Ovis aries: one gene and its partners. The protein of the gene in region 1 interacts with the protein of each later gene in a pairwise test. Links are inferred from orthologs where the notes say so. Each region holds a gene or a part of one and is shown in the gene's direction. Other genes may lie near its edges.

Region 1 (4,033 bases):
CATCAATTCTTTGGCACTCAGCTTTCTTTAAAGTCCAGCTCTCACATCCATACATGACTACTGGAAAAACCATAGCTTTGACTAGACAGACCTTTGTTGACAAAGTAATGTCTCTGCTTTTTATTATGCTGTCTAGGTTGGTCATAACTTTCCTTCCAAGGAGTAAGCGTCTTTTAATTTCATGGCTGCAGTCACCATCTGCAGTGATTTTGGAGCCCCCCAAAATAAAGTCTGACACTGTTTCCACTGTTTCCCCATCTACTTGCCATGAAGTGATGGCACCAGATGCCATGATCTTAATTTTCTGAATGCTGGGCTTTAAGCCAACTTTTTCGCTCTCCTCTTTCACTTTCAAGAGGCTCTTTAGTTCTTCACTTTCTACCATATCTTCTTCACATGCATTAAATATGGGGAAAAGCCAGCCATTTTGAGGAGGAGGGAGACCTGATTGTTTCATGAAATCACTTAAGTCTAGTAGTTCTGTGGCTGATTCTGTTAGCTATATTCACCTTGGATGTGGGCAAGCTGCTTATGTTCTAACTTTGATGTAGAAGGTGGGGGCACTGAGAGGGGTTTAATTAATCTCTAGATTAATTATAGTTGCCTATTAGGACTAGAGGAATATACCTTTAAAAAATAGAGTCCTTATATTGATTGTAGAAATTAAATTTAGACACTTAGAATTAAATGTATAAATTCTATATATTTATTCATTATTTATTTTTGAGTAAAATGTTAATGAAATGCTATTGCCTCTGAGAGAACCACAACATGAAAGAAAAAAAAAATTCATAATACTACTCTGCTCATTTGGGAAAAATGATGTAGTGTGCCTTAAAAAATAAATGAAAATAAAAATAACATTTTTGGAAATAATTGACAGAGGGAGGCTGCACTTGCTGCAGTTCATAGATTTTAAAAATCCCCATCAAATGTAAATAAAAATCTGATGTTTTGAAATGTATATAACTCTAAGTAGAGAGTTTCTAAAATTAAAAAGAAAAGAAAGAAAAGACAACTCCTTTGGACAGTTAGACCTATCAAATGATTGGTGATCACAAGTTATCATCAGGCTTGCATATGTTGTTAAATTAATTCTTAAGATATTGATGTGTTAAATATAAAATATTTTACCTCAAACAAACAAACAAACAATACACCCTACTAACTCATCCTTATTTTGCCTTCAACTCTCTCAAAAAGCATTTTCTCATTCTGATCCCAATCTATAAGAAAATCAAGGGGGTATTGTGGAAATTTTTCTAGGAGAGACTCTCTATCTAATTCTTCTTTATAGTCCTGAAGTCTTCCTGACACACACTGTCCTTTTAATGCTGTTTTTGAGGTATCTTACTGCTTGCAATGCAGGAGACGTGGGTTTGATCCCTGGGTCAGGAAGATCGCCTGGAGTAGGAAATTACAACTCACTCCTGAAGTCTTGCCTGGAGAGCCCCATGGCCAGAGGAGCCTGGTGGAGGTGGGGTGGTGGCAGGCAGCCAACCTGTGTGACTCCCAGGCTCTTCTGATTCTGGAGGATCAGGCTCCACGTGACTCCCAATGGGGTGTGCTGATGCTCCCAAAGTATGGGCCCAAGCAGGATACTTTGACTGATGGTTCCTTTCCCTAGGGGCTGCAGCTGCGGGGAGTTGGAGTGGTGGGAGAACAAGGCGATGGTGGTGCCCGACCCCAGGAGAATCCTGGCGGCTCCCAGGGCATGAGGTCCCAGTATGAGCGGTAAGAAGGATCCCATGGACCCTGCGGGAGAGAAAGGACAGGGCTTTTGGGGCAGGGACCCAGGGAGTTGGCAAGCAGACTGCCCAAGAGGGAGCAGTGAACAGCTGGCCATGCTTGGAGTATGGGGACTCTGTTGCCTCCTCACCACAGCCATAGAGCCCCCTGGCCCCTTGCCTGTTCAGGGCCTCCTAGCATCCCACAGCAGGGCCAGCTCCCAGCCCTCAGGCTTCAGGACCTGTGACCAGAGAAGGGGAGAGCTCCAGGCAGACAGACTCATGGTCCAGAGAAGTCCACAACCTTACCCATCTGCCTTTATGGCTCTCCTGGGACCACCAGAGGCTCTGACTCTCTGTGTTTAACTCTCTGTGCAGCCGAGAGTTAAATACACTGGCTGAGATTGGTCTGGAAGAGCTCAATGAGCTGGAGATGGAGATCATGAGAAGACAGGTGAGTGTCTGATTGTCAGGGACCCACTTGAAGGTGGGAGGCAGAATCATGGTGAATGGGTGGGTGGGGCCACCCACCTTGAGGATACCCAGCCTCTCCAATCATATTCATCTGCTAGCAGTGGAGGCGAAATCAGGCTTGCTTCCCCATTCACCCAGCCTTCTTGTCTCCAGTGTCCTATCTTGAGGCCTAGGCTCAACCCCATCTTTATGCCTGACATGTGGGAAGGGAGAAGGGAGGAGAAGAGGAGGAAGAGGGGACATCAGAGGATAAGAGAAGTTTATTCATAGAGAGTGATGCCAAGAGGACTGAGCCAGGGGTCATGTTCATTCAGGCCAAGTTCAGGTCTCCTTGGTTTGAGACCCCAGCAGGCATGGGCATGGGCAGGAAGGATGTCTTCCCTGGTGGCCCTCTCTGGCCTTGCATGTCACCCCATCCTGAGGCCCTTACTCTGGTGCTGCTGCACCCCATCCCCTTCCCTGGCAGCTGGGATGGGCTGGCTTCTTCCAGACAATGGGAAGAACTGGTGATGGTGGAGGCAAGGTGGCAGGGACTGAGAACACAGACAGCCCAGTCTCTGGGTTACACTGGGCCCATCCCCAGCCCTGGTCAGCTGCTCTGCCTGCTTCTTGCCCAGAGGCCCTTTTCCTCCCAAAGCACAGCAGAGGCCCTCCTTGGTCTAAAGTCATATTTTACCCCCATTGGTGTGCTGTGGACTTCCCTAGAAGAGCCTTGTTCACCAGCTAGCTCTGGTCTCTCTGCAGCTGTTCATGATTACTGAGCGTCTGCGCTACCTGGAGGACCAGAGTGCCACCTGGCACCAACGGGAGGTGCTGTTATTCACCATGCTGCTGTCTTCCTGCATCGCCAACCTATGGCTGTGGATGCGCCAGTGATGTTTCCTGCCGGTCCGCCGTGCAGCTAGAGCCCTTCAGTCCTCCCTTTCTTCCCTTCTCTCCCTCAGCCACCTCTGCCATCCTCCTTCTAACTTTCAGCAGCCTTCAACAGTATCGCCACCATTTTCCACCTCTGCCCGAGGGAGGCCCTAGCTGCTGGGAGGTGGAGGAAGTGTAGAATCGCGAAGGTCAGAATGGACTGAGATCCAGCCTCTTTGCAGGGAGAGGATGGTGGTTTCCAGTCCCCACAGTAACAGCAGTGGTAGGTGCTTCCTCCTTCCCTGTCAGGGCTCCATGGTGACCATCTTGGAGCTAGACCTTGCCTCTGGGCCCTCAGTGTCTCTTCTGTTCCATCCTTGGCAGGGGCTTGGCTGTGTCTTCCCTGTTTTCTTCAAGGTTGTGCTCAGGGCTCTGCACACAGAATATTCTCAATAAAAGTTCAGTTATAGCAGCAAACCCTGGTGACTGAATTTCTTGCATCCAGGACTCGCATGGGGACAGCCCCTCTGGACAAAATCCTTGGTTCCTCCTTCCCAGGCTCCTCCTGCCTCTCCATTGCCTGCCCAGTTGGGGAAGGCACTCCTTAGGGGCAGAGTTAGGCAAAGCCCTTCCTGTGGGACTTCCACCAGCAAATGCTTATGGGGACATAGTTTTGCAGCAGCAGCTTGTCCTAGTTGGACATTACAGGGACTCATTCAGAGAAATCTCCTGGATAGGACCACAAACTTTTCCATTTGCTCAGGAGAAATTGAGGCCCAAAGAAGGGAAACATGGCCCTGGGGTCACCTGAGACAGCCCTAGGGTCTAGGGCTTGGCCTTCCTCCAACAGATCGATTGGGGACCAGCCCCAACTCAGCTTCGGAGGCCGGATGGGAGATCACATAGAGGGACTTTGAACCCTTCTCCTCTGTGTCCACAGCTCTGAAATGTTCTCATAGAGGACAGTGTGCTGAGTA
Region 2 (3,981 bases), on another chromosome or scaffold:
TCTAACCTGTGGCCCATGGTGGTGGAAGGGCCGAGTCTTAACCCCTGGGCCATCAGGCAAGTCTCCTTTTCTATTTTGAATTAAACTCTGGCTTCATTCTCCATACTCCCCTCATGGGTCTCAGTTTCATCTCTAAAATGAGAACAATAGTAGTTACTACTGCTAACTACTACTAATAGTAACTATTACTACTAACCCATGGGCGTTTTGTGAATATTTAATGAAATAATGTTTATCAAGCCCATAACACAACTTCTGAAAGAGCTCAACTGTTTTGTTGTTGTTACTATTGGTGGCAGGCTCAGGACACTAAGGGAGGAAGAGTGTATGAGGTGAGATGGGGAGCACTCAGTCCTATTTATGATGGATTTGGGGGGCTTAATTTGAGGACTGTATTTTAGGCAGAGGATCTCAGTTGAAACAGCATGAGTTTCACAGAAACCTGAATTCCAATCCCTGTTTAGCATCTCATGAGCTATGTTACCTTGTATAATTCAGCCTGACGAAATCTATTTTCTACTTGTTTTTCTTTTTTTCTTCTTCAAAATTACAGGCGTAGTAATTTGCTCCAGACCTGACACAGTGGCTACGGGATTACCTGCCCGGCATACTGCCCCATATTTTTATAATTCGTGCATTTCCAGTCTCCCCGCCAGCCCCCTTCGCCTTGACCTGGCCCCCCGCTTATCCCTGAGGGAATGGGCAGTATTCACCCTGTTCTTACATCTCTCCCACCACCTGGCACTGCTGGGCCACGCGAAGAACATTCCATGAAGGCTCCAGCGCATGACCAGGGCAGCGGTCTGTCCCTGGTGTCCAGAAGTTTCCAGAACGCACACACCTCTTCACTTACGGTGTGGGTTGCCTGTTTCTTACCTGGAACCCAGGTCTTCAGGCGGGGGGGACCATCCTGCTGAGGGTGCCAGCCGGCTTCTTCCAAACCTACAGCCCCAAAGTTGCCCTGGAGCCTAAGGGTACAGGGCGCGCCCGCGGCGACGCGACTCCGAGGTCGCGGCTTGGCCTCGCCCACCTTCGGGCGCCCGCAGCCGGCCAATCGCCGCCTGGCCCGGGCGCGGGGCGCGCTCCCCTCCCCACCTCCCCGCTGCCCCGCGCCCGCCCGCCCCGCCGGCCCCTCCCACCCTCGCAGACCGTGCACGCCGCGCCCGCACGCGCAGGCTTCCAGAACCCGGCCGCTGCGAGCCCGCGCGGGGCGCTCAGCTGTCCGCCGCCTCGCTCTCCGCGCCCTTTCCGAAAAGGGGCTCCTGGCCCTGGGCCCTGCGGCCGAGGACGGCGGTGGCCCTCGAACTTCATTTTCAAAGGCGCCGCTGGGTGAGAAGCCCGAGCGAGGCGAGCTATGGATCCCGTGAGCCAGGTAGGACTGACTGGGCAGCGCGGGTAATGCAGCGCGACCCCCGGGGTTGGATGCCGCGTCCCCCAGCCCCTTCCTCACGCTCTCTCTCGCTCTTTCTCTCTCTGTCTCGCCTTCTTGGTCCACAGCTGGCCTCAGCAGGTACCTTCCGGGCGCTGAAGGAGCCCCTTGCCTTCCTGCGAGCCCTAGAATTGGTGAGTAGCGGGCTAATGTGCGGGGAGGAACCAGCAGGTGAGGAGAGGTCGGGTGGGGTGCTCTCGTCTCGGCTCTTCTCCAAGCCTGGGAGGCCAGCCGCTGCCTTCGATCCTCCCCTCTCCTCAGGTGCCATTCCAGGATGGCGGGGACAGGATGGAGGGATCCGGCTTGGAGGCGGGAGCGTGGACGAATTTTTGCAGGCGCTTAGACGAGGTGTCATCTCACAGGCGCGCAGGGGCTGAGGAGAGAAGCCTCCTGGGGAGACCGGGAGGAGAGCAGATGGAGGCGCTGCCGCTGGGCTCTGGCTGCTCACCTGCATTTTGCGGGGCTGAGGGCGTGAGAGGAGGGACCGGGGGTGAGCGAAGTAGGAGAGAGGGCTCGGCCAAGCTGGGAAAGTTGGTGAGCGCGGCAGCAGCTCTCCGCCGCGCCTGGGATGCAGGAAGCGCTGTGATCCACGCTCCAGCGAGAGGGAAGCTGAGAAGCTGTGAAAAACAGCAGCGTTGAAGGCAGGACTTCTTCCTCCTGTCCCAGAGTTTCTCTACTCTATTCGCTCTCGAGGACTTTTCTGATTTCTCCTAGAACCTCCCAGCCTACTTTGGAGCTTTCTTCAGCGCCTGGGTTTTAGGAAGTTGTATTACTCTCATGTTCTGTCCCCGTAAAAAAGAACTTGATAGTCCTAGGACAGCTTATCAGAGGAGTAAGGCGCAGAAAAGCTACCAACGGGGCCACAGAGCTTTGTTAGTATTGCGGGCTTGGATGATCGTTATTCAGAGTGAAATCTGCGGGTCACACATTCTCTCTTGCTAGGAGCTCTGAAAGGCAAGCGAGTCTATCTGAACAGAAAGTTCAAAGCCCGTCATGTAGCATTAATCACAGGCCCTATCACTGAGGAGCTAGGAAGTTATGTAAGAGCGTGTTCGTCCTCCCAGATCTTAGCTCCAAGGGCCAGTATCCGGGTTTGGCAACACAACAGTGTTACATGCTTACATGGTTGATCAGGGTAATCACATCTGCCTTGTTTGTAAACCTGCATTAAAATGCATGAATCTGTCAACTGGACATGGCATCAGGACAGCGTTTGGAAGGCTTGAACCAGTGGTTCAAGGATGGCTTTTCTTAACTGTTTTCCTCACAGCCAGGTTAAATCATGCAGGACTCAGTCCAGGCAGCTTTCACTTGACTTTCTCAGACTTCTGTCCACGCTCATTCATTTAGCCATTCAACAAACATTCTCTGTGGAAGAGTGGGTGGTTGTTGTTGTTGTTTTTCTCTGTGGAAAGGCTGCATTGTCAAGCCATTGTCTCTCAAAACAAAATTCAAAGACCTGCCATCATTTCTGACACAGTCTCTCCTGGTCTCACACTGTTGCTGTCACCCGCCTGAAACCTTCCTTTGTATTCCCTTCAGTCCTGTTACAATGTTATTTCATGTCACTCCCCCCACACACCCTCAGTGAGTATATTTCAAAGTGTGAATGGTTTTGTTTTCAATGCAGATTTCTGGAAATCAAATAAAAATATTGGAAAGGTGGGTGCCCAGAAATCTGCATTTTTAAGCAACTTCCTAGGTTCTTCTTAGGCTCATTAGAGGACCACCACACTAAGCTATACAAGGTCCCCCAAAACTCAAAAGCACCTGTTAGCTTAATGTTCTTGTTATTTGTGTTCATACTGGATGGAGTCCTGTCACAGCCCAAGCCAAATACAAATGTTTGTCTTTCAACCTCAGCTTAAGTATTACCTTCTCAGTGAAGATTTCTCTCATAATTGCTTCTTTTTCTCTCCTCTACCCCAAATTGAATGATTCACCCCATTCTTTGAGCTTCCATTACATCTTATTCATTCATTTATTCATAAGAATTTATCATCCTGTCTTATAGTTATCTTTTCTTGATGTGTGTGTGAAAGATATATTAACTTAATTTTTTAAAAATTGGAGTATAGTTGATTTTCTCTCTTCTTGGCCTCTAACTCTTTATGGAAGAAGGAATTTTGCTTATAAATCAATGATTAGCTCTCATCTGTGCTAGAGAACCTGAGTAAGGGACCAGTAAAACCTTGAAAGGACGTATACGTTAGTTGATTGCCACCTTTTGAATGAGCTAAGGTTCACAAACGAGAGCAGGGAGATAGAAGGTGTGAGAACATGTATCAAGGTGGAGAAAGGAAAATATCTCTTCCGTGCATGCCATGGCTGAAGAATCACTCACCGGTCTTTGTTTCCTGTGGAAAATGGTGACAATGAGAGAGAGGTCTAGCTTTGGAAGAAAATTTGTTCTGTTTGTCTCAGTGTTCCCCACAGGTACCTTTGTATGTGATAAGCAAAAATTGTAAATTGAACATGACAGAGCACTAAAAACATCCCTGTTCCTCCTGTTCTGTGCGGGAGCAGCTTCTCTGTGGGAGAAGCTGGTAGTC
Region 3 (3,500 bases), on another chromosome or scaffold:
CTCTGGATGATGTAGAGAAAAGGAAGGAAAATTATATGGGTGCGTGACCCTCACTCTTTCTTCCCCGGTACCTGGTCCCTCTCGTGCCCTCAATGCAGTGCTCATCAGGGTGGGGTGGACCGACCGGGGTGTCGCGACGGTGGGAGGAGGTGGGCGAGAGTGGGGCGTGCTCTGGCCGGTTGGCCGCCTACCTCAGCCACAGCCCCAGCGCACCGGGCCTTGTGAGGACTTCTCGACAGGCTGGCTTATGAAGCGTGTGCGTATTTGCTCTTACAGTTACGCACGTATTCAAACTGTTTTTTAGGGGATCTGCTCCAGGTCTGTTATTCCTGGGGCCGGCCATCACCACAGCAGGAGTGTTTCCTTTGTACTTCTTTACGACTTAGAAGTCATCTTCTTCTGAAAGAGGTTTTTAAGATATTAATCTTTGAAAATATGCTTTTGTGATTCTCCATAGAGCTTTGTTTCAGTACCTAGTAATCTTGTCATTTTGCTGATGGTTTGAGCCGAGCCCTTGGCCACAGTGACTGAACTGCACGCTTTTTATTGGCCACGCTTCATTTCAGGGATTTTTGAGATGAATTTTTTTAGGGGTGTCTCATCTTCTTTTTCCTTCTTATTACTTCATGGAAAAAAGCCATTTAAAAGTCTTTCTGATTTTATTTATTTGTATGCATGCCAAATTTCTTAGGGAATGTTGTTTGAATTCTGTTTTGAATCATGTAAATACTCAATGTGGTAACTGAGGAGAAGCATGCAGTGCAGGCTCTCTGACTATAGGAACATCCCTCATACAGACGTTCGTTTTTGGGTTGTCATGATGATTGTAGACATGATGGAAAATAATATTACTAACTTGATACTAGAAAGTAGAGGAATTTATCTAGGAAATGTTTTAATGAGGTGACTAAAAACAGTTTTTGTCTACCTACTATACAGCATGTCTGTTAAACTGATAAATAAGCCAGTTGTCTTTGTTTGTTTTATGTAAGGTAAAATGTTAAATTTATAATTTTACTTTAAAAGTGAATTTACTCCATGTATACAGTTTTACTTTTAAAGTAAATTTATATCACAAATGCAATGTATTTGTAAGACTTAAAGTTGAATATAGTTTGCTTTAACTGCAATAAGTATACTTTTAAGTAGTGGTAATCTGGTCATAGGCGATTAATCTGACAATTCGATTATTAGAAAAGTCTTGAGAATGTGAAGTTGGTTAGCTGTTTGCTCTTTCCCGCAGTGGTTTGGTAACCTGGTGACAATGCAGTGGTGGAATGATCTGTGGCTGAATGAAGGCTTTGCTACATTCATGGAGTATTTCTCTTTGGAAAAAATATTCGGAGAGCTCTCCAGTGTAAGTACGCTGTTTGTTAGGCCTCCTGTGAATGCCAGGAAGAAAAATAGTCCAATCATACTGGACATGTATTTTCCATGCATTTGGAGCAATGAAAATATTTCTAGAAAAATACAATAAAACTGACTTGTTACTGATCTCTATACCTCTTGAGATTTGACAGTGAAAATTGTGCTTTTAGTTACTGATGGATTTCAGAAAGCAGAAATAATGTGAAATTATTTTATACTTTGTCATTAAGATGAACATTTCAAATTGCTTTGCTAAATTCTGTGTTTAATAGATGTGGCCCTTCTGCTTTAAGGAATTTAGATAGAGTTGGAAAGCATTTTTTTTTATTTGCAAAACAAAACTTTTTATACTCCTTATAGAGAAGAAATGAAGACATTTTGTGGCAATGCTATTATCACTGTGATCATTCTTACAACAGTGATACACAGCGAGACAAATAATTTGCTCTTTTTAGGTCCAAACCATATTTTGTGCCCGTTTCAAAGCCGTGGAACCCCATTCTGTTACAGAGAGCATGATGATGTTGTTACTGTGTTCTTAGACTCTCCGGAGATGTTTCTTCTCCTTAGAGAGATTTGGACATACTAAGTCCTATATGGGGGGAGGGCATGGCAACCCACTCCAGAATTCTTGCCTGGAGAATCCCCATGGACAGAGGAGCCTGGCGGGCTACAATCCATGGGGTTGCAATGAGTCAGACACGACTGAGCGACTAAGCACGCAGCATAGGTCATACATGACAGATATTGTGGAATAATTCAAGCAGTAAATGGAAAAGTATAAGAATCCGTTTCTACTATAGAATTCTGTGACTTTCTATTAAGCTTCTTGACTGTATGATCCAAAAGTGCTTCAAAAGATGAGTACTCTCAGAGCTTTCAGTTTGAAATTTTTGTGTAGGGCCTATTCAAAGATTTCAAATGGTAAAATGAAGTCAGTTTAAGCTTGAATATTAATAAGCAAAGTAATGTAAATCTGGGTATGGGTCTTAATTAAACAAAGAGATATACAGTTTCACCACTTGGTGGTGCCCAGAATGTTTAAAAGCTTTTAGTATATATTCTAGAGGAACTGGTCTGTTGAACTCTCAGACTCCTTTCTGTTTAAGACTTATATTTTACTTAAGAATAGCCTCAGTCAAGGGAAATGTATATTATCTCAATAGAAAAGCTGGATTATGTATGAGAAATCAACTTAAGGAGCAGTTCCTTTTTTTTTTTAATTTAAGATTTTATTTTACAAATATTCACTAGCCATTTCTAAATAATCATTTGAACAACTGGATTTAGCATATGGTCGCTTTAGTAATAAACTCTTAATGTATCCTTGTGTTGTTGTTTAGGGAACACTGATTTTTGTGGAAGTTGTAATTTTATTTTCAAATTTAACAAATATGCATAAATGTCACATTCTTCCTATATCTTCAACAGATTATTTCTAAAGTTTAGTGAAGCTAGTTGATTTTTTTTATAATGACCTTAAACAGTAATTAGTCTAATTCCTATCAATAATTACTAAACTTGCCTCTGTCTTTAATACTGTTCACAGTTTCTTTATTCTGTTTCATTTTTTGTAGTATGAAGATTTCTTAGATGCTCGATTTAAAACAATGAGAAAAGATGCGTTGAATTCATCCCATCCAATATCATCATCATCTGTTCAGTCTTCAGAACAGATTGAGGAAATGTTTGATTCTCTTTCCTACTTTAAGGTATTGCCATGCACAAAAAGTACCTGGAGTGGGTTACAAATTAATTTCATATGAAAGCAAGCTGACTGATTTAGATTGTTTTAAAGACTAGACAAGTATTATTTTCAATTTTCCTGTTAATTTTTAAGATGTTTGCTTCTACTTAAATCTTGATCTTAACTTGATCTAGGTTCTTCTTTCTTTCTCTGTCTCTTAAGTTCTCTAACTAGTATTCTGGCTAGTTAACCAGATCTTACAGTAATAGATCTTTTAAAGTTGGATAACTGTCCAGATCTACAGGTGGAATATGTCCAGGGGAGGCTCTAAGCCTTTGGCTGTGTCATTCAGGACTGAAGTGTGTTCCAAAGTCAGAATTGCCAAAACAGGTAGACAAAAGGAGATTTTTACGAATCAAAGACTCTATTGTAGAATTAGAAACCT
Region 4 (4,299 bases), on another chromosome or scaffold:
AGTTTTATTACATACCTACATCCTTGGATTAAACACCTCTACAACTGAGTGACTTCACTTTCACTTTTCACTTTCTTGCATTGGAGAAGGAAATGGCAACCCACTCCAGTGTTCTTGCCTGGAGAATCCCAGTGACGAGGGAGCCTAGTGGGCTGCCATCTACGGGGTTGCACAGAGTCGGACACGACTGAAGTGACTTAGCAGCAGCAGCAGGATCCAGGGTTTATAGGAGACATCTCTTAGAAGGAAACAATAATGTTATAATATCCACTAGTTACTGAGGAATTCCTCTTTTCTAGGTACTATGCCAGTAACAATAATTTATGATAATTAACTAATAATGAATATCAAAACAGTAGCAAGTCCTGATCAAGGGCTGTCTGCCAGGCAATGTTCTAAACATTTTTACATATTAACAAATCCTTATTAACAAATTCAAAATAACCATCCTTCAAGGAAGATACTATTATTTCTCTCATTTTACGGATCAGAAAACTGAAGCACAGAGAGGCAAAGTGACTTGCTCAAGTAGAACCAGTAAGTGGACAAAGTTAGGACTCAAACTCTTTTCTCTGGTCCAGCTAGTCCTCTGGGCTCTGAATCCCAACAATCGTGCCCAGTGTAGCTATCTGTCCGGTCTCTGAAGCTTACCAGCTCTCTGTTACTCTGGCAGATGTGCTATTCTGCTCAGGGGGCTGGACAGCTGTGTCTCCAAAAGGGACATTCAAATAGGCCAGCGGACTCCGCGACCTTGCAGAAGACCCCACTGCTGCTGCTGCTAAGGCGCCTCAGTCGTGTCCGACTCTCTGCAACCCCATAGACGGCAGCCCGCCAGGCTCCCCCGTCCCTGCGATTCTCCAGGCAAGAACACTGCAGTGGGTTGCCATTTCCTTCTCCAATGCATAAAAGTGAAAAGTGAAAGTGAAGTCGCTCAGTCGTGTCAGACTCCACACCCACCTGGAAAACTCCGCTCTTTGTATCTAGAGTCTGTATCTTGATAGGATCTTAGGACCCACCCAGCCAGTCTTTCAGGTTTCCACGTGGTCTCTCCCCTCCTGGAAATAAGAATAAGCACTCAGCGGGACAGACCCAAGGGGATCCCAACAGTCTTGAATAAGTCTTCCTTACCTTTAAAGTAAGTGTCAGTATTTTTTCTTCAAACATGAATTAGTTCATTCATCCTCAGAAGGATTCTATGAGGTAGGTAACCGTCTTCACTTTCACTGGGGAAGGAGGGAGGAGAGACTGTGCCCTCAGGGATGAGACACCAGCTGTTACCACATCTGCAGATTGTACTTGGAGGTTCCCCCAAGTTCTCCTGGCTGCAGGTGGTCCCGTCAGCCCACCTGCTGGGATTTTAACTCGGCGAGATATTGCGCCCTTTGCGACACAAATCTGGATATTCTCCAGCCGCCCGCCACCCCGCCCCCGCCCCCGCCCCCGGCCCCGCCCCCGCCCCGGCCCCGGCCCGCCCCCGCCCCCGTCCCCGGCCCCGCCCCGTAACTACCTGGGCAGTGGCGCAGTGAAGGCTCAAGCAGCACGACGCCGTCTCCTAGATACCGGGCCGTCGTCACATGACCTACTCACGTGACCCCCCCCCCACAGCCCAGCTGGGGTTGGAGCTCTGGCAAAGGGCAGCCGGCGGGGCGGGGCTGGGCAAGTTTGTTTCCCGAGTTCGGAGACCAGGAGCCCCCGCGGTTGTGGCGCAGGTGCTGTCCGGTTGGGTCGCGATGGAGCTGCCAGCCGTGAACCTGAAGGTGGCGATGGGCGGGGCGGGTCTCCCGGAGCGTGTTGGGTATTTGCGCTTTTAGTAGGTGATTTTAGAGGTGAGGATTTTAGAGGTAGAGGACCGAGAATCTGGGGAAAGTGGAGTGGTGGGGAGAAAGAGAACGAACAGAGCCCAGGTGTAAGGAGGTGGGCGGACAGACCATACCAGGAAGACAGATCCAGAAGGCCAGCAGGAAAGACCGAGAGGGAGCTGGAGGAGGGAAGCAGCCGTCTCTTCCCTAAGACCGGTTCAGCTGGGAGCGCTGAGCCCCTGAGGCTCGCTTTGGCCTGCGCGCCCAGAATTTCTCTGGAGAAAGAGGAGAGCGTGGTGGGGAGGGACCCAAGGAGAGCCCGAGGCTGGACTTGGAGGCAGGACACCTGCCTTCCACCGAGAGAGGGGTAAAGCTTTCACCTGGACCCCCAACACTGCCCTTACCGCCTCTCTTGTTGGGAAGATCAAGTTAAGGAAATCAAATGATCCCAGACAGATGGTTTTTCAGAGTTGATAGATTCAACGTCTTTATTTCTTAAGCAACACAGACACCAATAGAATTTACTCAAAAGCAGAATCCCCCAACTTTGCACATTTAGGAAAACACTGTAGGTCGCTGGGGTGTCTTCATTTCCTGAGCTGTAAGAATGCCAAAGGCTGTTCTTCTTTTTCTCCCCGCCCTCCTCCAGCCCAGTGTTTCTTGGCTGGGTTTGCCACTGAGAGGCTGAAGCCTTTAGCTTTGGTCAGAAAGGTTTTAGCCTTGGACCAGACCTGCCATCTGCGGCCTAGGTACAGTTTCCTTTGAGATTGTATGCAGGAGTACCCTCTTATTCACCCTTGACAAAGCATTATGCACCCATGGTGTCTGGTCCTAAAGTAAGAGATAGATGACTACAGAACAATACATCATCCATATTTGGATTATTAGACATGGTCTGTGTTGTGACTTCACGTGGGCACATTTCCTTAATATTGAACACTTGCTTCAGCAGACCTCTCCGAGGCTTCCAGTCAACTGCTGCAGGGGGAGAGATGGCTGTGACAAGGGAATGGGCTTGGATTGAAGGTTTAGCAGGGAAGAAATTTACACGAGGGCAACTGAGGTTCATTGGTATCAACATTCACTCTGTTCCAGGCTGTGTGCAGTTAATGCCGACTACCTTTTCTCTGATTAGAGACTTGCCTAAAATAATTATTAAGGGGGAAGGAGGAAAGGGACAGAGGAGCAGGAACTGACGAGGGAGTGAGCCCTAATTCTTAGGGCGTCTGTGGTGTGCCGGGTTATTTATTTAGTCGTATCAACCTTCTGAGATTTTTGTAGCTGAGCCAACTTCAGCTCAGACCAGATAGGTAACTTGTCAAGGCCCCACAGAGATTAAGTGGCAGAGTCAGAATTTGAACCCATCACGGTCAGACTTCAAAGCTCTGTCTTTTCCTGGCCACCATTAGTTAGGGCCAACTTCTGCTTTGACAGTTAGTGCCCAGTGGGAGGGCTTAGTCTGTTTGTGGCTTTTTTTTTTTTTTTTTTTGGAGAAACTTTGTGGGCCTCACAGGCCACACGTGACCACAGATGTGAGCTTTGCCGGCTTTCACTGCCCACAGTGAAATAGCTGGTCCTTTCTTTGACTTGGGAAATAAAACACCATATCTCTAAGGGTCTTAGCTGCTACCAATCAGAGACAAGTAAGTGCTGAGAGGTCGTGAACAGCTAGGGTTGCCAGGTGACATTGAGGACATCCAGTTGAGTTTGAATTTCATATCAACAATGAATAACTTTTTAATCTAAGTATGAAAAGTGAAAGTCATTCAGTCGTGTCCAACTCTTTGTGACCCCAGGGACTGTACAGTCCATGGAATTCTCCAGGCCAGAATACTGGAGTGGGTAGCCTTTCCCTTCTGCAGGGGATCTTCCCAACCTAGGGATCGAACCTAGATCTCCCACATTGCAGGAGGATTCTTTACAGCTGAGCCACCAGGGAAGCCCCAGGATACTGGAGTGGGTTATCCTATCCCTTCTCCAGTGGACCTTATATCCCAGGCAATATTTGGAACAGTCTAGAAAATTATTCATTATCTGAAATTAAAGATTAACTAGGGGTTCTGTTTTTGTTGTTGTTTTTTCTGGCCTCCCACAGGAGTCTAAGTGGGCTATTCTGAGATCAGAACCCCTTGGGAGCTCAGAAAATGCCCAACCCCCCAACCCTGCACTACCCTTGCCCTCCTTTCACACATTCCTGGGGTATTGGCTCAGTGCCTGCTTGTGCCCAGCCCACCCACAGTAGGCAGTGGTGCCAGGTGAACAGAAGCAGCTGCCCCGGGCCCTCCAGGTAGTTCCTAACCCAATGCCACACATGAGGCAAGTCCTGAGCTGAAGGAACGTCATTGTGAGAGTTTAGAAAGTTCTAGACTTGGGTTCATGAGGGCTTGTGAGAAAAGGCCCTTGGGAGGAGGGTGCAGGGGGTTAGTATAGCATGAGGGTTAAGAATTCCGGAACCTGACTGCACAATAGTCAGGGACTGCCTTGTCTCGGGGCTTCCCAG
Region 5 (4,105 bases), on another chromosome or scaffold:
CTCCTACTAAACTGACTCCTGTAGGTCCAAGGGTTTCATCTTCTGTTTCCCACATGGCTTGTAACATAGGACATGCACATGTGTGGCCCCCTGCTTTGAGCACACCCATCAGAAGGTTATGAGCAACTCCCCAGTGAGAGAGCCAAAACCTCAGATATATTCTAGTTGATGCAACACAAATAAATCACTATGTGGCTGTGGCACTTGATTATTTAAAAGCAAAACAAAAACTGTCATATGTCTTAATTTAGCATATCACACTTGTGTGCCCTGACATCCTAGTTGAGAACCACTGACCTTGTTGGCCTGTTATTTCAGTGGCCTTGAGCTTTGAATGTACTGACCACTTCTTTAGCCCAAAGCCATGATCATCCAGCATCTTTCTCTACCAAAGCTTGTCCCTCAAAAACACAAGCAGGAGGACAAAGAGAACAATGGTTAAAATTTCCCAATAATGGACCCACCTACCCTGTTGGTGGGAATGCAAACTGGTACGTCCATTATGAAGAACAAAATGAAGGTTCCTTAAGAAACTGAAAACAGAGCTAGCACATGATCCAGCAATCCCATTCCTAGGCATATATCCAGAGGAAAACATAGTTCGAAAGGATACGAGCACCCCATTGTATCCTGGCAGTATCACTGCAGTACTGCTTACAACAACAGTACATGGAAGCAACCTAAATATCCATTAACAGAAGAATGGATAAAGCGGAACTGGTAGATATATACAATGGAACATTACTCAGTCATAAAAGAGGATGAAATAATGCTATTTGCAGCAACATGGATGCCCCCAGAGATTATCATACCAATTGAAGTAAATCAGAGAAAGACAAATATTATATGATATAATTTTTTTGTGGAACCTTAAAAAGAAAGATAAAATGAACTTATTTACAAAAGAGAAACAGACTTACAGACTTAGAGAACCAACTTATGATTACCATGGGGTAAGGGCTGGGGGGAGCGATGGATTGACATGTACACACTGCTATTATATAATATAGATAACCAATAAGAACCTACTGTGTAGGATAGGGAACTCTGCTCAATATTCTGTAATAACCTAAATGAGAAAAGAATTTGCAAAAGAATAGATACATGTAAATGTAAAAAAGATGTAAGATTTTTTTAAAAAAATCTCAATAGTGCTACACAGACTCCAAGGCTTGCCCTCTGGGATGCTATATTCAAGGGTGTGTTCTTTCTCGTCCCCCCACAGGGTTGGACCAGCTGACCTGATCCTGGCCAGTGGCCCTGTCCTCCATCACAGCCACCCCGCCATCCGGGCCAACTGGGACTATGTTTCCCTTCAAGGTGAGAAAATGGATGGGGCTTGCCTGCTTCCGCTCGCTGGTGGTCTCCTCCTCCAGCATTCGCCAAAAAAAACTAATCCACAAGCTCCAGGAAGAAAAGGCCTTCCGCGAAGAGATGAGACACTTCCGGGAGAAGATCGAAGACTTCCGGGAAGAGATGTGGAATTTCCGGAGCAAGATGCGTGCCTTCCGCGGTGAGATCTTGGGCTTTTGGGAAGAGGATAGGCCTTTCTGGGAAGAGGAGAAAACCTTCTGGAAAGAGGAAAAAGCCTTCTGGGAAATGGAAAAATCTTTCCGGGAAGAAGAGAAGGCCTTTTGGAAAAAGTACCGAATCTTCTGGAAGGAAGACAGGGCCTTCTGGAAGGAGGACAACGCCTTGTGGGAAAGAGACCGGAACCTCCTTCAGGAGGACAAGGCCTTGTGGGAGGAAGAAAAGGCCCTGTGGGTGGAGGAGAGAGCCCTTCTGGAGGAGGAGAAGGTCCTCTGGGAGGATAAGAAGACCCTCTGGGAGGAGGAGAATGCCCTCTGGGAGGAGGAGAAGGCCGCCTGGGTGGAAGGGGTTGTTCCGGTTGTGGAGCAGCAGGTGCTGGAAGGCGGGCACCGCCACATCAGTGGCAGGCCCTGGTCGCCAGCCTCCTCCCGGGGCAGGGCGTGAGTGCAAGAGGCACTGGATTGGGACTCAAGTGGAGTCACACTCAGGGTGACCCCGCATGCCTAAAAAAAAAAATGCTCTTATTTGGCTCCTGCCTTCAAAAGATCTAATAAAGTCCTGAGGAGAGGTCTGGAAAACCAACTTTTGTAGGGAGGGCCAGCTGCATTTTCCCAGGTCTTGTGATTCTCCGAGGTCACCGTCACATCCTCCACGGGCTATAACTGCTGTCCCTAGGGCTGGCAGCTCCGGTGAACCTGGCAGGAGTGGGTGGGTGTGAGTGGAGGCCCTGGGCTCGCCTTAAAAAAGAGTTAGAAAGGAAGTGGGGGGGGGTGCTCAGACAATGACAGTGAGAGATAGGGAGGGCCAGAGAAGGGCAGAGACATTTCTGCCTCTCTCCAGTTCTGAGGTAGTCATTTCTCCACTCTGGGCAGTCTTGCCTGGCGAAGGAAAATGGCAACCTACTCCAATATTCTTGCCTGGAAAATCCCAGGGGTCGCGAAGACTCAACTGAGCGACTTCACTTTCGTGCGTTGGAGAAGGAAATGGCAGTCCGCTCCAGTATTCTTGCCTGGAGAATCCCAGGGACAGAGGAGCCTGGTGGGCTGCCGTCTACGGGGTCGCACAGTGTCGGACACTACTGAAGCGACTTAACAGCAGCAGCAGCTGGGCAGTCTTGGAAGCCTGGGGCGGGTGGACAGCTTTCCAGAAAAGGCTATAGTGGTGTTAACATTTCATTCGTGGGTTTTCCTCACCTGGCAGGCTATTTAGACACAGACAGCATCCCTTAATGACTCATTTGCTCACTGTTCCAGGTTTCCACCAAACTTTGCTTCCCATTCTCTAAGAAAGGGGAGTGGCATTAGACTGAGGCTCTAGAGCTCCGCCCACTCCCCTTTTCTGATGCTGGACTCCTTGGACCAGGTGAGGCCACCTGCAAGGTGTAAGGGAGACCTCCTGCCCTATACTCCTATTAAATACTCAGGTCTCAGATACCTGTGTCTCTACATTATCAATCCCTTCCTTTGTGTTTCCCTTCTTCCACTCAATTAAAGTGCCTCAGGGAAGTAGAACACTAAATGAATGCACGCTAATGTGATCAGCCATTTACACACCCAGCTTCTCTTCCGGTGTCAGACTACATATATGGGCATTGATATGGAAGGGCCCAGAAGGTGAGTAGTAAGAAATGTCGAGGCCAACAGCTCTTGCTTCCCCTTTTCTTGGGCCTGGCTCTCACTCTCATTCATGCAGCCACTTATGTGCCCACCTTTACTACTTGACAAGCACGTTCACACCTGCCAGTTCATGTAACCTTCCTCACAACTCTGTAGGTTGACAGGGAAGGTCCATAAACCCATTGCACATGTGAAGAAAGAGACCTGGAGAAGCAGAGAGACTTCTGGTTGCAACCAGAAGGTCCAGAAGAAGAACCCACATTGTCTGCCAGTTGGTCCCATTCCTCTTCGAACCCAGCCCGGGTCATAGGATGTGGCTTTAGACCAGTTCAGCCAATGATAGTGTCAGAGCTGGATGAGCCTTAAAGCCCTTGGGAGACTTCACTGTGGTTTGGGGTGGTGTTCCAAAAACACAGAGAAAAGAGGACAGAGTCCCCTTGGGTATGCTGAGCAGACATCTGGGTACCAGGAGAGTGGGCTGACTTCATGAACAGCCTCCATGGCTCCGTATCACTGTGGGAAAGCTGGGGTTCCTTGGAAGGCCTCTGACCCTCAGGAGTCAGGGCCAGGGCACTGGGATCCACCTCCTCCTTTGCCACACACCCAGACTTGCATCTTCAGGTCTCAACAGGCAAAGATGTCAGTAAGCGGAGGGAACAAGATGCTTGTGTGAAGACAAGGGAAACAGCTAGGCACCCTCACTGTGACTGAATGAATTGAGAGCAGATTAACACTGCTGGTGGAGAGTCTAAGGATGAATAATCAACTGGTGAGTAGGCAGAAAACTGAGCAAAGGGAAGAAAGCAACAGTTGTATAATATGAAACAAAGACACGTGCAGAAAAGGAAAAACCACAGTGGAACACTACATGCTCAGCTATGAATAGCATTTACATCGTTAAATATAAATACTGATTGTGATCTAACCACAGTTACAATGCACAATATTGGAATAAGAGG
Region 6 (4,010 bases), on another chromosome or scaffold:
TCAATCCCTGATCAGGGAACTAAAACCCACATGCCACAACTTACGAGAGTTCACGTGTCGCAATTAAGACCCTGCGCTGCCACATAAAATGATACATATATATATTTTTAAATGCCGAACCTCAGAAAGGAAAGCCATCACGCAGGCACAGAGTTGGTGAGCCTGCCTCATCTATTCCTCCTGTGTGTATGTTAGTCGCTCAGTCGTGTCTGACTCTTTGGGACCCCGTGGACTATAGCCCACCAGGCCCCTCTGTCCATGGACTTCTCCAGGCAAGAATACTGGAATGAGTAGCCGTTCCCTTCTCCAGGGGTTCTTCCCGCATCTCCTTATATGTGTGTGTGCATGGGATTGAACCCTTGTCTCCTGCATTGGCAGGTGGATTCTTTACCACTGAGCCACCAGGGAAGCCCTTATTCCTCATAAGCATTAATAATAACCGACCTTTACTGAGCACCTATCCACGTGCCGGGGTCCTGTGTTCAGCGCTGTGCATGTACAACCTCTTTTGTTGGAGAAATTCTCTTTTCCAACCCCAAGAAGGGAGGACACAGAGGCTTAGGGACTCCCCATGCTCCAATGGTTAAGAAGCCGCCCTGCAAGGCAGGGGACGTGGGTTTGAGCCCTGGTCAGGAAACTAAGATCCCGCGTGCCATAAGGCAATAAGCCCATGGCCACAACTAGAGAATCTGTGTGCCCCAACGAAAGATCCCGCATGACACAGCAAAGATCTCATATGCTGCGACTAAGACCCAATGCAACCAAATAAATTAATAAGTATCTAAAAAAAAAGAAGTGAGGACACAGGCTCGGAGAGGGGACAAGTTTTGCCCGAGGCCAATGAGAGGCAAAGACCAAGCTTGGAACCACCACCACCCTTGACTGCCTGTGTGCAGCAGGCCCCCCAAACCCTGGCTCCCTCGAGCAGGGCGGGTTTCCTTTCCAGTGACGAGCCAGGCCTTGAACCAATCTCTTCCCCCCACCCAAGCAGCCTCCTCTCAGGGGAGTTGTGGTGGCCACAGGTGCAAGAAGCGGTTCCTCTCCACTCACGGCCTGAAGCCTCCCCCACCAGGGGCTTCCCCCTCGCCCGCCAGCCAAAGGGCCCAGCAGTGGGGCCAGTGAAGCCCGTCTCCGCAGGGCCGGGCAGGAAGTGGGGCGGGGTTTGGGGCTCAGCGAGGTGGGATCTGGTACCCCAGGACTGCTGCAACCCAGACTAACCAACCCACTGGGAGAAGATGCCTGAGGGTCCCCAAGCCCTGCAAAGCTCACCTGCCACCATCTTTCTCCTCCTGATCTCCGCTGCTGGCCTGGGTATGTGGTTAGCAGGCAGGTGCTGGGGGAGGCGGTAGTGGGAACTGGGAGACTGTTGAGAGGGGCCCCAGGCAGAGGGGGAGGGAGAGGAGCTGGCAGGAGGCAGGCTAGAAAAGACCCTGTAGAAACTGCATCTGTCTGCTTGATTGTCTCAAACAGGCCGGTGGGAGGCTGGAGGGGGCTCAGCGAAGTTGAAGGTGCGTCCTGGCCCGGTGGAGGGAGGCAGGGGCAGGAGACACCTTCCCCAGCCGCTCATCCCCCCTGATCAAAATAAGGAACTAAGGTTGCCCTTGACTGACTGAGCTCCAGAGCTGGGGGCAGGGAGGGGACGGTGGTGGGTAGCAGTCAGCTTCAAGGGGGAGAAAAATCTTTCTCCTTTTCTGCCTTGAATCCTAGTCTTCACCCCCTACTTAGGGAACCCCCTTCTCAGTGCTGGGGGAGCAAGTGACCTTCCCCCTTGCCCTCCCACACAATGCCAGCTGGCAGGGCTGTGACCACCCTGTTTGACCAAGGAGTTGAGAGAGGCATCCAGTCACCCCAAATTTCCACTGGGAGCTGAGATTGGAGTGACTCCTCAGGTTGCTGTCTCTTACCCCACTTCTTCCTTCTTCTCTCTTCCCCACCTCTCCCCTCCTCCCTCCAAAAGAGGCAGAGCCAGCCATGCGGACTGGCCCAGGAGGAGGGGCACAGAACTGGGCCTTCCCCCGTGCCTGGGCCGCCCCATCTCCTTCGACCCAGCTGAGGCCCTCCCAGCCCTAACCAGCCAGCTCAGCCCAGTCCCTGACCTCACCCCTGGCCCCCAGCATGACACAAGCAAGCCAAGGAGAATGAGGGCCGGACCCAGGGTCACAGGGCAGGGCAGGCTCACAAACTGGCGAGAAGAGGCCCAGGGCCAAGGGACGCCTGCTGCTGTGGGTCGCAGCTGGCCCACTGGTAGAATGGGTTATGACAGAACCGATTCCTATGGGTTCTGTGATAATTACACAAAGTAAAGTGCCAGTGTGGAGCCAGGCAGGGGCTGGGTGAGAAAATAATCCAGGAGGGCCTTCAGGAGGAGGTGATGCCCAAACTGATTTTGTAAGGAGCTTCCTGGCCTGGGGCACTGCTAGTCCTAGGGAACTGCCTATTCAAGTGCCAGCGAGCTCAGAGGGGGTAGAAGCACAGAGCAGGGGGCAGAGGGAGGAGGTGGCTCTGGAGGGGCAAGTGGGGACACCTCCCAGCCCCCCCTCCACTCTGGGTGTGTCACTCACACTTCCCCACACCCCACCCCACATACACATACACACACGCAGCCAGGAGCCCTGCAGCTACCAGGGGCCGCGCTGGGTCAGTGTCCCCGTTGGCTGTCTCCAACCCGCCTGCCTCCTCTCTGCAGGCCCCGGGTGCCAGGCCCTGTGGGTGGAGTGGGGCCCACCCTCGGTGACGGTGAGCGTGGGGGAGGAGGTGCGCCTCCAGTGCATGCACAACGGCAGCAACACCAACGTCACGTGGTGGCGCGTCCCCCAAGGCAACTCCTCATGGCCCCCTGTGATGCATCGCGGGAGCCTGGGTGCCGGGGGCGAGCTGATCTTCAAGCAAGTGAACAAGAGCCACAGGGGCATGTATAGGTGCGAAGTCAGTGACGGCAAGAAGATACAGCGCTCCTGCGGGACGTACCTCCGCGTGCGAGGTGAGTGTCCATCCCGTCCATCCGTCGGGAAGGCGGGATGGAGCCCGTGCCGGCATCGCCTGCATCTCGGGCATCCTGGGTCTCCGGCTCTCACGCAGCGGCCAGTCTTCTCACCTGCAAAGCGGGAGCGGCTTCCAGGGTCTTGGGCCTCGCTGGAGGGGGCGTGGCCTAGGGGCGTGGCCAGCGGCAAGGTGGGGCTCTGAGCCGTATTCCCTCCTCACAGAGCCGCTCCCCAGGCCCTTCCTGGACATGGGGGAGGGCACCAAGAACAACATCATCACCGCTGAGGGCATCATCCTCCTCATCTGCGCCGTGGTGCCTGGAACGCTGCTGCTCTTCCGGGTGAGCCCGCCCCCCAGGCCCACCCCGCGGGAACTAGCGGACCCCCAAGAGTCCCTCCCGCCTAGAACTTGGCAGAATGGCAGCGCCCACCTCCCAGGCGCCGAGGGCCTAAAAATTTAATAGAATGAACGCATTCAAACTGTGCTGGGACCAGAGGGGCGTCCTTGCTCAGTCTCCCCTCAGGGTTGTCTTCACCTCTGGCCCCAGGGATGCCTCACTGGTCCCTCTATCCAGGAGGGCTGTACCCTTCAGATGTAGCCCAGGACGGGGAAGATGGGAGCTGGTGTCATCCCGGATGTCTGACCCCCACCGGAGACTCTGGCATGCCTGTGGGTTCAGCCGCTAAGCGGTGTGTCTGGTTCTTTTGCGCCCCGTGGCCTGTAGCCCGCCAGGCTCCTCTGTCCATGGGATTTCCTAGGCAAGAATACCTGAGCTTCCACAGTGGCTCAGCAGTGAAAGAATCCACCTGCAATGCAGGAGACGTGGGTTCCATCCTTAGGTCGGGAAGATCCCCTGGAGAAGGGAATGGCAACCCACTCCAGTATTCTTGCCTGGAGAGTCCCATGGACAGAGCCTGGCGGGCTACCGGCCACAGGATCGCAAAAAATGTCAGACACAACCGAGCGACTAAAACAACAACAAATGCTCTTTAGGCCACAAGACAACTATAGCCACTTAGTATTATTGC
Region 7 (3,500 bases), on another chromosome or scaffold:
CCCAGGCCTCCTGAATCATCTCATCCCCTCCCTCTCAGGCACTCAGACAAAGGCAGGAGAAACACAGTCAACAATCAAGAATGATGCCAGTCAGCAAACCAAGTGAGTACCTTTCATGTTCCTGGCCCCAGCTCCCCCAAAGCCCATCCATTCCTCTCTTCTAAGCTTTCACTTGAATACCCTCCCCCAGAATTTTGTGGAGTGGAACACAAGGAACTTTCACATCCACCTTAATTAAGAAAAAGGAGGGCCTTCCCACCCTATTGGCTCTCCAGAAGAGATGACAGAAGGAATCTACACCCTGCCTCCTGACACGCCTGTTTCTTTAATCCACTGCCATTTTTGTTTTTCTTCTCTTCCAGTTATGGAGTTGCAGTTCTAGATAAGGTAAGGAAATCCTCATGGTGGAGGTGTAGAACCACATGGCATCTAATCTTCTTCAAGGTCCAGAATTCATTGGTAAACTTAGCTGGGATGGCTGGGGCATCCTCTCCCTGGATGAGCACAGACAAGGAAGCCTGGAGGGACCCTGAGTCCAGGAAGAAAATTCACTTAGCACAAGCCAATCCTGGCTCAGATTCCATGTTCTAGGATTTCGGGAAAGCCACAGTCTTCTTAAACACCCTTTTTCTTTCTCTCTAGGAAATCATCCAGCTTTCTGAGTACCTCAAAGTAAGTAGCATGAACTTTCCCCTTAGCTCCTCCATCTGTCTGCTCACGTCTCCTCCAGGTTAATTTTAACCCACTTGCATTTTGCCCCTCAGGAGGCCCTACAAAGGGAGCTGATTCTAAAACAGAAAATGGTGATTCTCCAAGACCTACTGTCTACCTTGATTCAGGCCTCTGATAGCACTTGGAAGGTAAGGGAAACCTTTGTTTGAACAAAGCTCAGGGGCTTCTGTATGTGTCCATCTCGTTCTTCTTTCCATACCATTGCAGCAAGAGAAGGAGCTTTCTTACTACGGAAGATGCCGAAGGTAGGGTTAGACATCCAACATGTCACAGTAGATATATGGGAGAGCTTGGCTGAATCCAGGGTCGTCAGCTGAGGACCATGCTGCCACTCACCCAGGGAAGACCCAGAATCAAAAAAAGGCCCTCCTTTTTTTAATTTGTTGGAAGAAACAAAAGATGGTCTCAATACAGTTCCTGTTACTGACTGTGGTAAATATCAACTGTTTTTGTATGGAATTCATATCAATATTAACTTCAGCCACCATGTACCTACTTCTCGCCCCAGACATGAATGTGAAAGCAGGAAGGGACCTAGCGATTATCTAGTCTAATTTTCTCATTTTGCCCATGAGGAAACTGTCAGGGAAGTCAGGTGACTTGCTAAAGTCACAGTGCTAGTCAGAGGCAGAACTGGAACTAAATTGAGACCTCCTGATTTTAGTTCATTCATTCAACAAATATCCACAGATCACGTTCCCTGCACTGAGCACTGGAAATAATGAGATTAATCAGACAGGGTTCCTGCTTTTAGAAAGCTTGTGGCTTTCTCAGGGAGACAGATGCCTAAACAGTGAAGAGATATGAGAAAGAAAAAAAGCGCTTTCAGGATATGGTAGAATACAAGGGGAGAACCAGGGAAGTACTTACAGTTATATTTCAAGGCATTGACTATCCATATTGTATTTTCTAGGCAAATGTGACAACAAGAACTATATTCTGGTCAGGGGATACAGCACAGGCAAAGAACCAGAGGCATGATATAGTCGCCAGCTTTTTATTATCAGGACACCTTTATATTCTTTAAAAAAGTATTAATATCCAGGGGCTTCCCTGGTGGTCCACTGGTTAAGACTCTGCACTTCCAGTGAAAAAGGGTACAGTTTCAAAGCCTGGTTGGGGAGCTAAGACACCACATGTAGCATTATTATTAAAAAATAATATTAAAATCCAAAGAATTTTTTCATTTACCATTTAGAAGTGAAAACAGGAATTTTAAAATATGCACTAAGTTTAAAATAACAGTAGACAGACTACATGGGAACTTAAATTATAGACTGTTTGGAAAATATTTTTAAATAGTGAGAGAAGTAGCACTGCTTTATACTTATGCGAGTATTTTTAATGTCCGAACAGAGGACAGCTAGACTCCCATGTTTGCATCTGCATTCAATCTGTTGTTAATACATTGTTTTGTTGAAATATATGAGGAAAATCTAACCTTACACAGAAACACAGTTGGAAAAGGGAAGACCTTGCAGATCCTGGATTCCCGGGGGTCCTTGGACTCCACACTGAAATTCCTAGACTGCAGTGTTCAAGCAGTTTGATGCCACCAGAGCAGAAAGCCACAGGTGTACAGATAGAACACACAGGCCTCACAGGCCTCTGTGAGCATCTGATCGTCCACACAGATGGTGTGCTTAGAAAGCCAGCCCACCCGGGACAGGCAGGCGTGGGACAAAACTGCGAAGCCTGCAGTGACGTCAGAGACCTCCAAGGCTCAGCCAGCCCTCTTCCCGTCGGTCACTGTACCTGACTTTGGGTGTCTGTATTCAGGGCTCCTGCTGCTTAAGGAAGTGGTTTTCGTAGCAGAGTAGTTCCCTGAGACAGACAGCTGTGCATGCCAGGTGCTTTCCGGGGCTGAACTAAACTGAGACTGTCTCATTCGTTTATTCAACAGACGTCTGATAAGTCCTGACTATGTGCTGGGTTGGGTGCGGCAGGCACAAAAGGCAGTAGATTTCCCACAGCAGCCAGGAAGAGAAAGACAAGTCATAAATAAACCTAACTGCCGCGTGCGCAAGCTGTAACAGCACTTTCTACCAAGGGACCCAGACAGAAGAGAAGGGAGCGATTCCTCTGCCTGTGGAGGAACAGGGTAGGCTTCAGAGGCAAGGGGCCACTTCAGTTGCGTCTAGGACTGAGGACTTTACCGCGACAGACTGAAAGTCGCTCACTCACGTCCGACTCTGCGATCCCATGGACTACACAGTCCATGGAATTCTCCAGGCTACAGTACTGGAGTGGGAAGCCGTTCCTTTCTCCAGGGGATCTTCCCAACCCAGAGATCGAACCCAGGTCTCCTGCATTGCAGGCCAATTCTTTACCGGCTGAGCCACGAGGGAAGCCCAACAAAGACAGAAGCAGGAATGATGAAGGGGGAGAGAAAGCAGAAAGGATAAGGGTGCTTACGATAAAGCAATCTAAATGACTACAGGCCTGGGAGTAACAGAGCGTGGGGCAGGGCCAAGGGTGATGGAAATGAAGGGATTGTGTCAGAGAAGCTTCAGAGAGAGGACTTCTCTAGTATTACGGCTCTTAAATATTTTCTGCTGAATAGGGTATGTCGAACTTAAATAGTCATGGATTCCCTTTTAAAGGACAAGTGTGTGTGTGTGTATCATGAGAATGCATGACACCCCAGTCTGAGAAACACTGCTGCGGGCAGTAAGCAGGGTAGCAATGGGCGGCGCTCACCTCAGGTCTGAAGTCCTACACTTAGCAATGTCCGCCCCATCCTGAGAAGGAGCTTGTCCAGTAGCTGT

The links.
Region 2: the proteins of FATE1 (region 1) and SYNPR interact in binary tests that used the Homo sapiens proteins (3 or more experiments, as listed by UniProt). The link is inferred for Ovis aries from reciprocal best matches to the Homo sapiens genes FATE1 and SYNPR.
Region 3: the proteins of FATE1 (region 1) and LNPEP interact in binary tests that used the Homo sapiens proteins (3 or more experiments, as listed by UniProt). The two-hybrid records come from large-scale screens. The link is inferred for Ovis aries from reciprocal best matches to the Homo sapiens genes FATE1 and LNPEP.
Region 4: the proteins of FATE1 (region 1) and AGTRAP interact in binary tests that used the Homo sapiens proteins (3 or more experiments, as listed by UniProt). The two-hybrid records come from large-scale screens. The link is inferred for Ovis aries from reciprocal best matches to the Homo sapiens genes FATE1 and AGTRAP.
Region 5: the proteins of FATE1 (region 1) and CCDC70 interact in binary tests that used the Homo sapiens proteins (3 or more experiments, as listed by UniProt). The two-hybrid records come from large-scale screens. The link is inferred for Ovis aries from reciprocal best matches to the Homo sapiens genes FATE1 and CCDC70.
Region 6: the proteins of FATE1 (region 1) and CD79A interact in binary tests that used the Homo sapiens proteins (3 or more experiments, as listed by UniProt). The two-hybrid records come from large-scale screens. The link is inferred for Ovis aries from reciprocal best matches to the Homo sapiens genes FATE1 and CD79A.
Region 7: the proteins of FATE1 (region 1) and TRAF3IP3 interact in binary tests that used the Homo sapiens proteins (3 or more experiments, as listed by UniProt). The two-hybrid records come from large-scale screens. The link is inferred for Ovis aries from reciprocal best matches to the Homo sapiens genes FATE1 and TRAF3IP3.

What each region holds. Positions count from the first base shown.
Region 1 is NC_056080.1:84,011,662-84,015,694, reverse strand, and holds the end of FATE1 (fetal and adult testis-expressed transcript protein), read left to right. Parts: intron 1-1,627; coding exon 1,628-1,734; intron 1,735-2,105; coding exon 2,106-2,181; intron 2,182-2,945; coding exon 2,946-3,077; 3' UTR 3,078-3,533; downstream 3,534-4,033. UniProt on the Homo sapiens protein: Involved in the regulation of endoplasmic reticulum (ER)-mitochondria coupling. Negatively regulates the ER-mitochondria distance and Ca(2+) transfer from ER to mitochondria possibly implicating it in the regulation of apoptosis.
Region 2 is NC_056072.1:38,208,312-38,212,292, reverse strand, and holds the start of SYNPR (synaptoporin), read left to right. Parts: upstream 1-1,181; 5' UTR 1,182-1,354; coding exon 1,355-1,372; intron 1,373-1,497; coding exon 1,498-1,563; intron 1,564-3,981. UniProt on the Homo sapiens protein: Intrinsic membrane protein of small synaptic vesicles. Probable vesicular channel protein.
Region 3 is NC_056058.1:94,053,864-94,057,363, forward strand, and holds part of LNPEP (leucyl-cystinyl aminopeptidase), read left to right. Parts: intron 1-1,243; coding exon 1,244-1,357; intron 1,358-2,945; coding exon 2,946-3,080; intron 3,081-3,500. UniProt on the Homo sapiens protein: Release of an N-terminal amino acid, cleaves before cysteine, leucine as well as other amino acids. Degrades peptide hormones such as oxytocin, vasopressin and angiotensin III, and plays a role in maintaining homeostasis during pregnancy.
Region 4 is NC_056065.1:41,204,312-41,208,610, reverse strand, and holds the start of AGTRAP (type-1 angiotensin II receptor-associated protein), read left to right. Parts: upstream 1-1,499; 5' UTR 1,500-1,574; coding exon 1,575-1,709; exon of another isoform or gene 1,710-1,730; coding exon of another isoform or gene 1,731-1,757; intron 1,758-4,299. UniProt on the Homo sapiens protein: Appears to be a negative regulator of type-1 angiotensin II receptor-mediated signaling by regulating receptor internalization as well as mechanism of receptor desensitization such as phosphorylation.
Region 5 is NC_056063.1:21,628,193-21,632,297, forward strand, and holds the start of CCDC70 (coiled-coil domain-containing protein 70), read left to right. Parts: upstream 1-1,305; coding exon 1,306-1,974; 3' UTR 1,975-4,105.
Region 6 is NC_056067.1:50,930,312-50,934,321, reverse strand, and holds the start of CD79A (B-cell antigen receptor complex-associated protein alpha chain), read left to right. Parts: upstream 1-1,210; 5' UTR 1,211-1,235; coding exon 1,236-1,311; intron 1,312-2,686; coding exon 2,687-2,980; intron 2,981-3,203; coding exon 3,204-3,322; intron 3,323-4,010. UniProt on the Homo sapiens protein: Required in cooperation with CD79B for initiation of the signal transduction cascade activated by binding of antigen to the B-cell antigen receptor complex (BCR) which leads to internalization of the complex, trafficking to late endosomes and antigen presentation.
Region 7 is NC_056065.1:72,994,534-72,998,033, reverse strand, and holds part of TRAF3IP3 (TRAF3-interacting JNK-activating modulator), read left to right. Parts: intron 1-38; coding exon 39-102; intron 103-362; coding exon 363-387; intron 388-642; coding exon 643-672; intron 673-764; coding exon 765-860; intron 861-3,500. UniProt on the Homo sapiens protein: Adapter protein that plays essential roles in both innate and adaptive immunity. Plays a crucial role in the regulation of thymocyte development.